Tribolium castaneum: one gene and its partner. The protein of the gene in region 1 purifies or fractionates together with the protein of each later gene. This does not show direct contact. Links are inferred from orthologs where the notes say so. Each region holds a gene or a part of one and is shown on either strand. Other genes may lie near its edges.

Evidence for each region.
Region 2: the proteins of sxc (region 1) and CXXC-type zinc finger protein 1 purify together in Homo sapiens (affinity purification with mass spectrometry; 3 studies listed by BioGRID and IntAct, with this or other methods). This does not show direct contact. The link is inferred for Tribolium castaneum from reciprocal best matches to the Homo sapiens genes OGT and CXXC1.

Annotation. Positions count from the first base shown.
Region 1 is NC_087394.1:6,425,023-6,428,843, reverse strand, and holds part of sxc (UDP-N-acetylglucosamine--peptide N-acetylglucosaminyltransferase 110 kDa subunit), read left to right. Parts: intron 1-2,095; coding exon 2,096-2,292; intron 2,293-3,821. UniProt on the Homo sapiens protein: Catalyzes the transfer of a single N-acetylglucosamine from UDP-GlcNAc to a serine or threonine residue in cytoplasmic and nuclear proteins resulting in their modification with a beta-linked N-acetylglucosamine (O-GlcNAc).
Region 2 is NC_087398.1:9,598,955-9,603,305, reverse strand, and holds CXXC-type zinc finger protein 1, read right to left. Parts: upstream 2,977-4,351; 5' UTR 2,867-2,976; coding exon 2,843-2,866; intron 2,790-2,842; coding exon 2,644-2,789; intron 2,594-2,643; coding exon 2,249-2,593; intron 2,200-2,248; coding exon 1,446-2,199; intron 740-1,445; coding exon 506-739; 3' UTR 431-505; downstream 1-430. Other genes in the region: uncharacterized protein LOC107397902, read left to right, coding at 3,205-3,544, 3,597-3,729, 3,791-3,982, 4,036-4,351. UniProt on the Homo sapiens protein: Transcriptional activator that exhibits a unique DNA binding specificity for CpG unmethylated motifs with a preference for CpGG.

The DNA of each region.
Region 1 (3,821 bases):
TATAATTGAAAAATGGTTGCATTGGGACTATTTTTTAAAATGCTTTACCGCTGAATACCTTTTTAAGAAAAAACATTTACGTGAAATTTTAAACACAGAATTGAGTTTAAACACAGAGAAGCTCAATAATTCCGGCAATTTCATTAAAAAATGCAAGTTTTGTGGCAAATAGTGCCATTGTCTTCTCTTTGTTTTGAGCTAGAATTAGTTAAAAATGGCATGTTTTTTTGAGCATTTTAGCACTTTTTTATTCAGAAATGCAATTATTTTGAGTAAAAATAAATCGAAAAGTTAAAAATTGATTAGACATTTGTGTTATTAAACGATGTTGCGTTGTATTTTGTAATAATTTTTAGCAAAAAATTTAGTTTTTCGCGAAAATTTTCGAAACACTAAATTGGGTTTCAGGTGATATTATTTATCGTTGATGTGTTTTATTTTATACGTTTTTATGCAGAAACTAAATAAAGAAATCGAATTTCGTCGAAAATGCGGCGGTTTTTGTCATTCCTTTGCACTTTAAAAAGTTCCTTGAGTTTAAATTAATTATAGTTTTTTTTGAGCATTTTAATACATTTTTTAGCCAATTATTTTACGGAGCATTGTCAAAAATAAACTGAAAACTCACAAAAAGTTGTTTTAGTACGTTTTTATGCATAAACTAAATAATTTCGCGAGATTTTGTAAAAAATGCTTCAGTTTTTGTCATTTATTGCACTTCTTACTGGTATTTTTAAAATTAATTATATTAGCTTCACTTGACATCAGGTGCCTAAGTTTGTCTTAATCTTACTTCTTTATTACTTTTTTTTATTATAATTATTCTTTCTCTGGGTACTGCGAAATTATCATCAATAAAATTTTCTGATTATAAAACGTCAAAAGAATCTGGAAATAAATCAGTTGTTTCGCGAATAAAGTTATCATGAGCTGTTTTGCGTGAATTTAATTTCAAGCTACATTTGCTGTAATTGCTTTTTCTAGAGGAATGCTTGTAAATTAAGCTAAATTTTTGCATTTAAATAGGGCGTTAGGGAGCATTTATTAAAAAAAGTTTAATATTAAAATAACAACTTTCGGAGGTTTTTGATTTTTGTTTATTAATAACGAAGATATTTACCGGGAACGTCTCAGTTGAGACACTGTTTTTTAATTTTGTTGCTTTTGTTATTTTAATTATCGCAAAAAAGAGTTTCACCAAAATATCGGTATCAATGTTTTTTTTTTCCTAAAGAAGCTTATTTACATCAACTAGACAGTACTTTAAGGAAAATTCGAACTCTGAAATTGGAAATATAAATAAATAATCAGTTAATTCAATTTTTTTTGCTCATTTAGCTGAGAATTTTTAACAGTTTTATTCGCACTGTTGTATCTTATGCCTTGGGAAGATGAAGCGGTAGGCGTATAAAAATAAATATTTCAGGAGAGTTGATATTTCCTTTGGGTACGCGGAGTGTCTTTGGATTCAGGTGCGATCAAATGGGAACAAAATCTGCTTTTGTGTCAGTTTTGTTCCAAATGGTTGTGAGCCAGCTTTCAGGGACACCCGTTTCAGTGAAAATGACGGTGAACATTGTAAATAAGTTGTTTCTTTTAAGTTTAGGCCCGGTGGCATTGAGTTTCTGGTTTAGAGAGTGGGAATAGCTTTGGTGATTTTCTGTTTGTGGCCGCCTATAATTGACAAATGAGAATGCTGACTAATGGTATTACTGTTGCTGTACAATAATACAGGTATGTGGCTGGTGTCCCGTGCGCCTCCCTGGAATCACACTGGTAAAACTATGGGCTTAGTCTCAGGTAATGTACGCAAGCGAACAAGATGTTTCTTTGTTTTTAGGTATTGGAGTGAGGCCTCTCTGTGCGTCAATTGCTTGCTTGCGTAATGAGTTTTCTTCTTTTTTTCGACCGTTTCTATGTCGATTTTAAGGTGCGTAAGTTGTGCGCTGGCGTATTTTTTCACCTCAGTATGCGTTCATTGCGTTTTGGCGATTTTTTTCTGTCCCAACCTGTTTGGAGAGGCCTCGAAAATATGGGCGCTTGCGATTTACTATAGTCCTTTGTGCTTGTTATTTATTCCTGATTTGTTGTATAGGCGTGTTATTTGAAAGCTATCGAGACTAGACCGGATTTCGCCGTCGCTTGGAGCAATCTTGGATGCGTTTTTAACGCTCAAGGGGAGATCTGGCTCGCGATACATCATTTCGAAAAAGCAGTCGGTTTGGATCCCAATTTCTTGGATGCCTACATCAATCTGGGCAATGTGCTGAAAGAAGCGCGAATTTTCGATCGGTAAGTAAAAGAATCACAGGAAAATGTCACCTAAAATATAAAAAAATAACAAAATTATTGTAAAATGCTTTCTATAAAAAAAAGGCGCTTCTGTACAAATAAATCGCAATAAAATAAAATTAAATTGGGGAAATTTTAATTATTACGCAAAATAAGCCAAATTGTCATAAATGGTGCATTTTTGACGCTTAAACTTACGTCTGTTGATAAATCTCATTATGTTTTTGCGAGATTATGTTAAAATGTGACGGTAAATTGTAAAATTTACACAAAATTTTTTTTTCGGACGTTTTATCATGTTTTTTCACTGAGCAACGCAATTAATTTATAGAATTTTATTAAATAGGAACAGAAAAATTACTTTTTTGTACAAATAAATCACAATTAAATGTAAAAAATTAAATTATGTCAAGAAAAAATTAAAATTAAACTGTAGAAGCTTCAATTATTACGCGAAATTTTGTTAATTATGAGCTAAATTGTGTTAAATGGTATATTTAGATAATTTCTCTTGTTAGATTATGTTAAAATGTGACGGTATATCGTGTAAAATTTACACGAAAATTGAATTTTTTTCATGTTCACTCAGAAAAACAGCGAATTTCTGGAGTTTTTTTTTAAATTACTAAATTTGGTTAAATGTGGTGCAGTTTTAACCTTGTTTCGAGAGTTCACATTTGTTAGAACATTGTTTTTATTCCACTGAATAATACCGCGAAAAGTAGCATTTTGTAAACAAGTTTTGACGTTTTTCATGTTGTTTGATGTCTTAAACATTAATTTTTGCTACATTTTGTTTATTGCTGGTAACTTTTTATTTGTATTTTTTTGTTTTTACGTTGAAAACTCAGAAGATTAATTGTTTAACGAAATTTTGTTAAAAATTAATCAAAAAATACGTTTTTCGCGAGAATTAGTTTTTGAACACTGAATAATGGTTTGCAGGTGATATTTTATCCTTATTGTGTTTTATTAATGCGTTTTTTTATTAAATACTTTTGCGTGATTTCTTAAAAAAAAATCGAATTTCATCGTAACAACTTTTATGTTATTTTGATTATTGCGACTGTTTCACCTAAATGTTAGAATAGAAATGTGATTTTCTAAAGGAAAATTCGAATTCGAAATAAAAAAAAACCTAAACAGTTTCGGTGTTAAAAAGGAAATATTTATTGATTAAGAAAAAATTGTTGATCTTTTTGTTTTTTTTTGTTCGAATTTTTGTGAATTATTTTGAAAATCTATAATAGAAACGAATCCCGAACTCGACTGGTAATTAATTTTCGATCGGTAAGTAAAAGAATCACAGGAAAATGTTACACAAATTATAAAAATTTAACACAACTATTGTAAAATGCTTCATATTTAAACAAAAACGCGCTTTTGTACAAATAAATCGCAATGAAATACAAAAAAACTAAAATGAAACCGGAGAAATTTCAATTATTACGCGAAATTTTGTTAAAAATAAGCCAAATTGTCATAAATGGTGTATTTTTTCGCGCTTAAGCTTACTTCTGTTGTTAAAT
Region 2 (4,351 bases), on another chromosome or scaffold:
AGGGTCAGATGCACCTTCCGCCACTGACATTGTCACGGAAACACCGTAAAAATCGCTAAACGCACCGTATTTCCAGCGATAAAAACGTGTCATCATCACTTCCTGATTACACAAAATATAAAAACGCTCAATCAGCTGAAACAGTAACGAACCGACAATGTTTTGTGTCAGTCTCTTCATCTTCGTTGTGCTTTTAGCCAACTTTTCGGCGCTAGCTTTACCGGAACCTGCAGAGAGCGACTCCGGCTCCCCGGTTGCCAAAAAGTGTGTAAAACCGGTGACTTTCCATACTGATTCTTACTTGTTTCAGGGATAATTCGGACGCAATTTTTACCTTTATTAAAAGTTTGCTGAATACGGGACATGCCGGGGCGCAAATCGCCATAAACAGGGTCAAAGCCGAGGCAGAAAAGAGAAAACAACTCCTGGATGAGATCAAACAAACTATATTGCCGAAATCAAGCAAGCAATGATAATGTTGTACATATTTTCTTAAATAAAGTTTTTACGTGAAACGTGGTTTGGTAGACGTGCGGAATCTCTTAGCCAACTCTCTTTGCATCGCGTTTTGGTCCTGCTGACTCGCTTTTGTTATTTGTTCCATGACTTCGTGATTGTATGTCGAGTGCAGCATCAGAGAGAGCACTCCGGCTCTCGAGGCCATTGTGTTGCGAATTTGGCGCTCTTTTTCTAAAAGTTCGTCCATTTTCAACCACTGGCGCACCCGTTCCAAGTCGATCTAAAATTTGAACTCGATTAATGCCTGACATTTTTTTCTTCAAAAAAAAATTAGTTAATGAAAATAAAGAAAAGTCAACAAAGTGAAAAAAGGCACTTTTTATTGACAAATGGCATTTTTTGTTGTACCCCAAATCTCAAAAAATGCAAGGTAGTTCTGAAAATTAAATTAAAAAACCTGAAAAAGTTCTTTGTAATGTCACCAAACATGCACCAATCTCCTTTAGTAAGATATTTATTAAAAAATCACCCTTTATTTATTTAAAAAATTTTTGTTTTTCAGAAAACGTAACCATTTTTACAACTTTTTTCTAAAATATTACGTTGTCGTTTACTTTTTTCATTTTTTTGTGTTATTTACTACGTAAGCTTTTTCTTCCATTATTGATGGTGAATTTTCTATGAACATGAATTGAAACTACAACTACAAACTTTTTAAAACTAAACAATTAAGAACTTAAAAAGTAAAAAAAAACGACGAAAACTAATAATTTCATCAATTAATTTAAAAAAACGCAACCCGTCTATTTACTAGGTATTTTTTTCAAAATCAAAATCAAAATATTTTTGCCGGCCTTAACATTCCACCCTGAGCTATATTGCAATACAATACAAATTCTACTAAGCAAAAAAGATGGAAAAGTAGATTTTTTCGAGCAACTTTCTTAATTGTAGCATTAATACTTCATTTTTTTTTAATATCTTACCTCAGCCCGTCTCAATTTCTCCCAAACGTGATGCTTAACGCATGATTTTTTCGGCGCTCGACAAAACTCCCCTGTCAGATCGAAAACGTTGGTGACCAATGGACAGCCACAGACTTCATATTCGCCGATTTTCGGATCCTTGCAATGCTCTGGGCACAAAACCCTCAATCTTTTACAATAAGTCCGATTAGCTGGATTATAAAAATCGCAAAACATGTTATTCCCCTCAATTCTGGTTTTAAAAATACTCCCGAAACTCGCTTGAGATTCGTACTTGTTGAAACACTTTTCCATGTGTTTGATGGCCGTTTTCGAATGTATTTCGAGTCCGCATGTTATGCAATACATGGTCGACACTTCCGACTCTTCGTCGTTGTCGAAATCGGCGTTCGGATCAATGGTGGCGCTCTTGGCGCGCTCGATAATCGCGTCCAATTCGCGATGCCGGCTGTCCAACTCTTGCAAAATCTGTTTGACTTCGAACTGTTGCTTCCTGACTTGGTCGAGAGCTTTGATATTGGACTCTTCGGCAGAGCAGGGACTCAGGGCCCACTCTTGGATACGCTGTGGCAACACTTGCAAAATCCGATTGGTTGCCAACTTTAAGCCACACTGATCCGAGCAGTATTTCGAGCCGTAGCGGGCGCTATTGGTACACGTGGGCCCGTAGCATTGGCGCGGATAGTCGGTCATGAGGTGGGCATTGGGCGGGCCTTCCCTGTCCGAGCTTGAATCCCGCCTCTTGCGCCTCCCCCTGCAAATCAATTGGTCAAGAATCAAGTCATGGGGCGTGGCTACCCCACCCGCCGTAATTTATGCAAATCCGCTGCTTGCACCGCTCCTTGTTGCGCGGGGAGCCGTGACGGCTCCGCCTCGTGCACACGTCGCACCGCCCGCAGTCCTCGGTGCGGTAACACCCCATACAGTCCCCGCATTTTTTCATTTTTTTGTCGTTTTTGGTGTCACCTCGTTCTTTGCGTTTGCGGGCTTTGCGCTCCTCGGTGTTGGTGTTGGCACTGGCGATTTCGTCGCGTTTGGTCCGCCAACGAGTCTGCAGAGTTGAGTCCTCCTCGGAACAGCGAATACAAATGTATTGTTTGATCATTTTGGCCTCCTTTTCGGAGATGTTCATGCAATCGCCGTGGTACCTAGAAATGCATGATTTGAACAATGTGTTGGCATGCAGGTGGTTTTTTACCATTCTTCACAGGCGTCACACGCAATCATGAAACGGGAGCTGTCCGAGGAGCGACAAATGCAATAAGCTTGACCATCTTGCTTGAGGAGGGTGTCGATTTTGGATTGACGCTCCGGTAACAGAAACTGTTTAGCGATCTCTTCGCGCTAAAAACAAGGCAAATTAAACACAGTTTTGTCCGGTTTATGCCAAAAATTACCGAAATATCGCGTTTTCGAGACATCTTCAATTAACTTAACCTTGCTTCTTTTAGCCACTTTTCCTAGCTCTGTTAGACATTTGAGGTAGGTCAGCACCTTAAAGCTAAACAATCGCCATTTTCAATGCTTTTCTTATGGGCATTTAAAAGTTTTTCGTATTTCTTTAATGCTAGAAGTGTAGGAACATTACTTTTACAGAGAAATGATAGCTATGAAAAATGCAATGTCGTTTCTTAAAGATTTTAGCAACTGAGCTAATATTTCTGTAAGTTGAACACATAAATCCTTTTCTAACCTAACTTTTTTCAAACTTCAAAATTCAGTTTTTCTTAATTTGGACATCATATTGATGTAAATTATTATGTGGCCTTTTAAAACTGAGGGAAAAATGGTTTGCCACACTAATGACATTGGATTTCTTCTGAATGACGAATTCATGGGGTGCAACCGGCGCAACCCCAATAAACGGGTTGTTTTCTGTCCCCCTCCCCCATCACGAGGGATGAATAGCAGGTATACGAGGGTAGAGGGTTCAGGCACATACATGGTTGAAAGTAGTACGGGTTGTGAGTTCTGTGCTTCTTTCGTGAGTGTCTTTTGTTATCGTGTTTTTTCCGATCGTTCTCCATATCTTCGTGTTCTTGAATTTTTAAAATTCTGTTTTTCCAAGACATTATCTCATTTTTGTGGTACATCATTAGGTATGATTTGTGAATAATATTTTGTTGCGATACTTTGATAGTTCATGTGTAGTAGGTTTTTACATCACAACTATGGGAATGTGTTGGGCTCCAGATTGCAAACACTATAGTACTCGCGATAAATGCCATTTTTTTAGTTTTCCTAAGTCGGGAAAAGAACGAGCACTATGGAAAAAATTGTTGAGGTAATTTTTAATAGATGTTTTGATATTAATTTTTAATTGCTTGTTTCATTGTTAAATGTAGAAGAGATGTAGAACCCGGACCAGGAGCCTACGTTTGCAGCTGCCATTTTCGGGATGGAAGAAAGGAAAATGGTCCTGAATTATTTTTGCACAATATCGCAAAAAGAGCCTATTTTCAAGTGGAATCTCCAGAAAAAAAAAAGATGAAAAAACAAGGACTCCCTTCTTGTTCTAGTTCCGCTGAATCATTAAGGTAAAAAGTGAATCCTAGTTTTAAATTGATTTACAATTTGATCATTTGAATAGTGTTGATATACCGGAAGAAACAGTACCATCGACAATGAATTTAGAGGAAGTGCCATCGACGTCTACAGCCGTAGTTGCAGCACCAGCAGATATAATTCAAGATGCTCCGTTAGAATCTATGGGTGTGCAAGCACCCTTGGTGTCACATGCGGCTCTTGAAGCAGAAATGTATTTTCTCAAAAAGGAAAATGCTGAACTTAAAGCAAAAATACAATATCTGACAGTACGATTTTGCTATGAAAATGTTCAAGGAAATGACAAACTCATTGTTTTATATACCGGTCTTCCCAATAGCCAGATTTTCGAAGCATTGTTT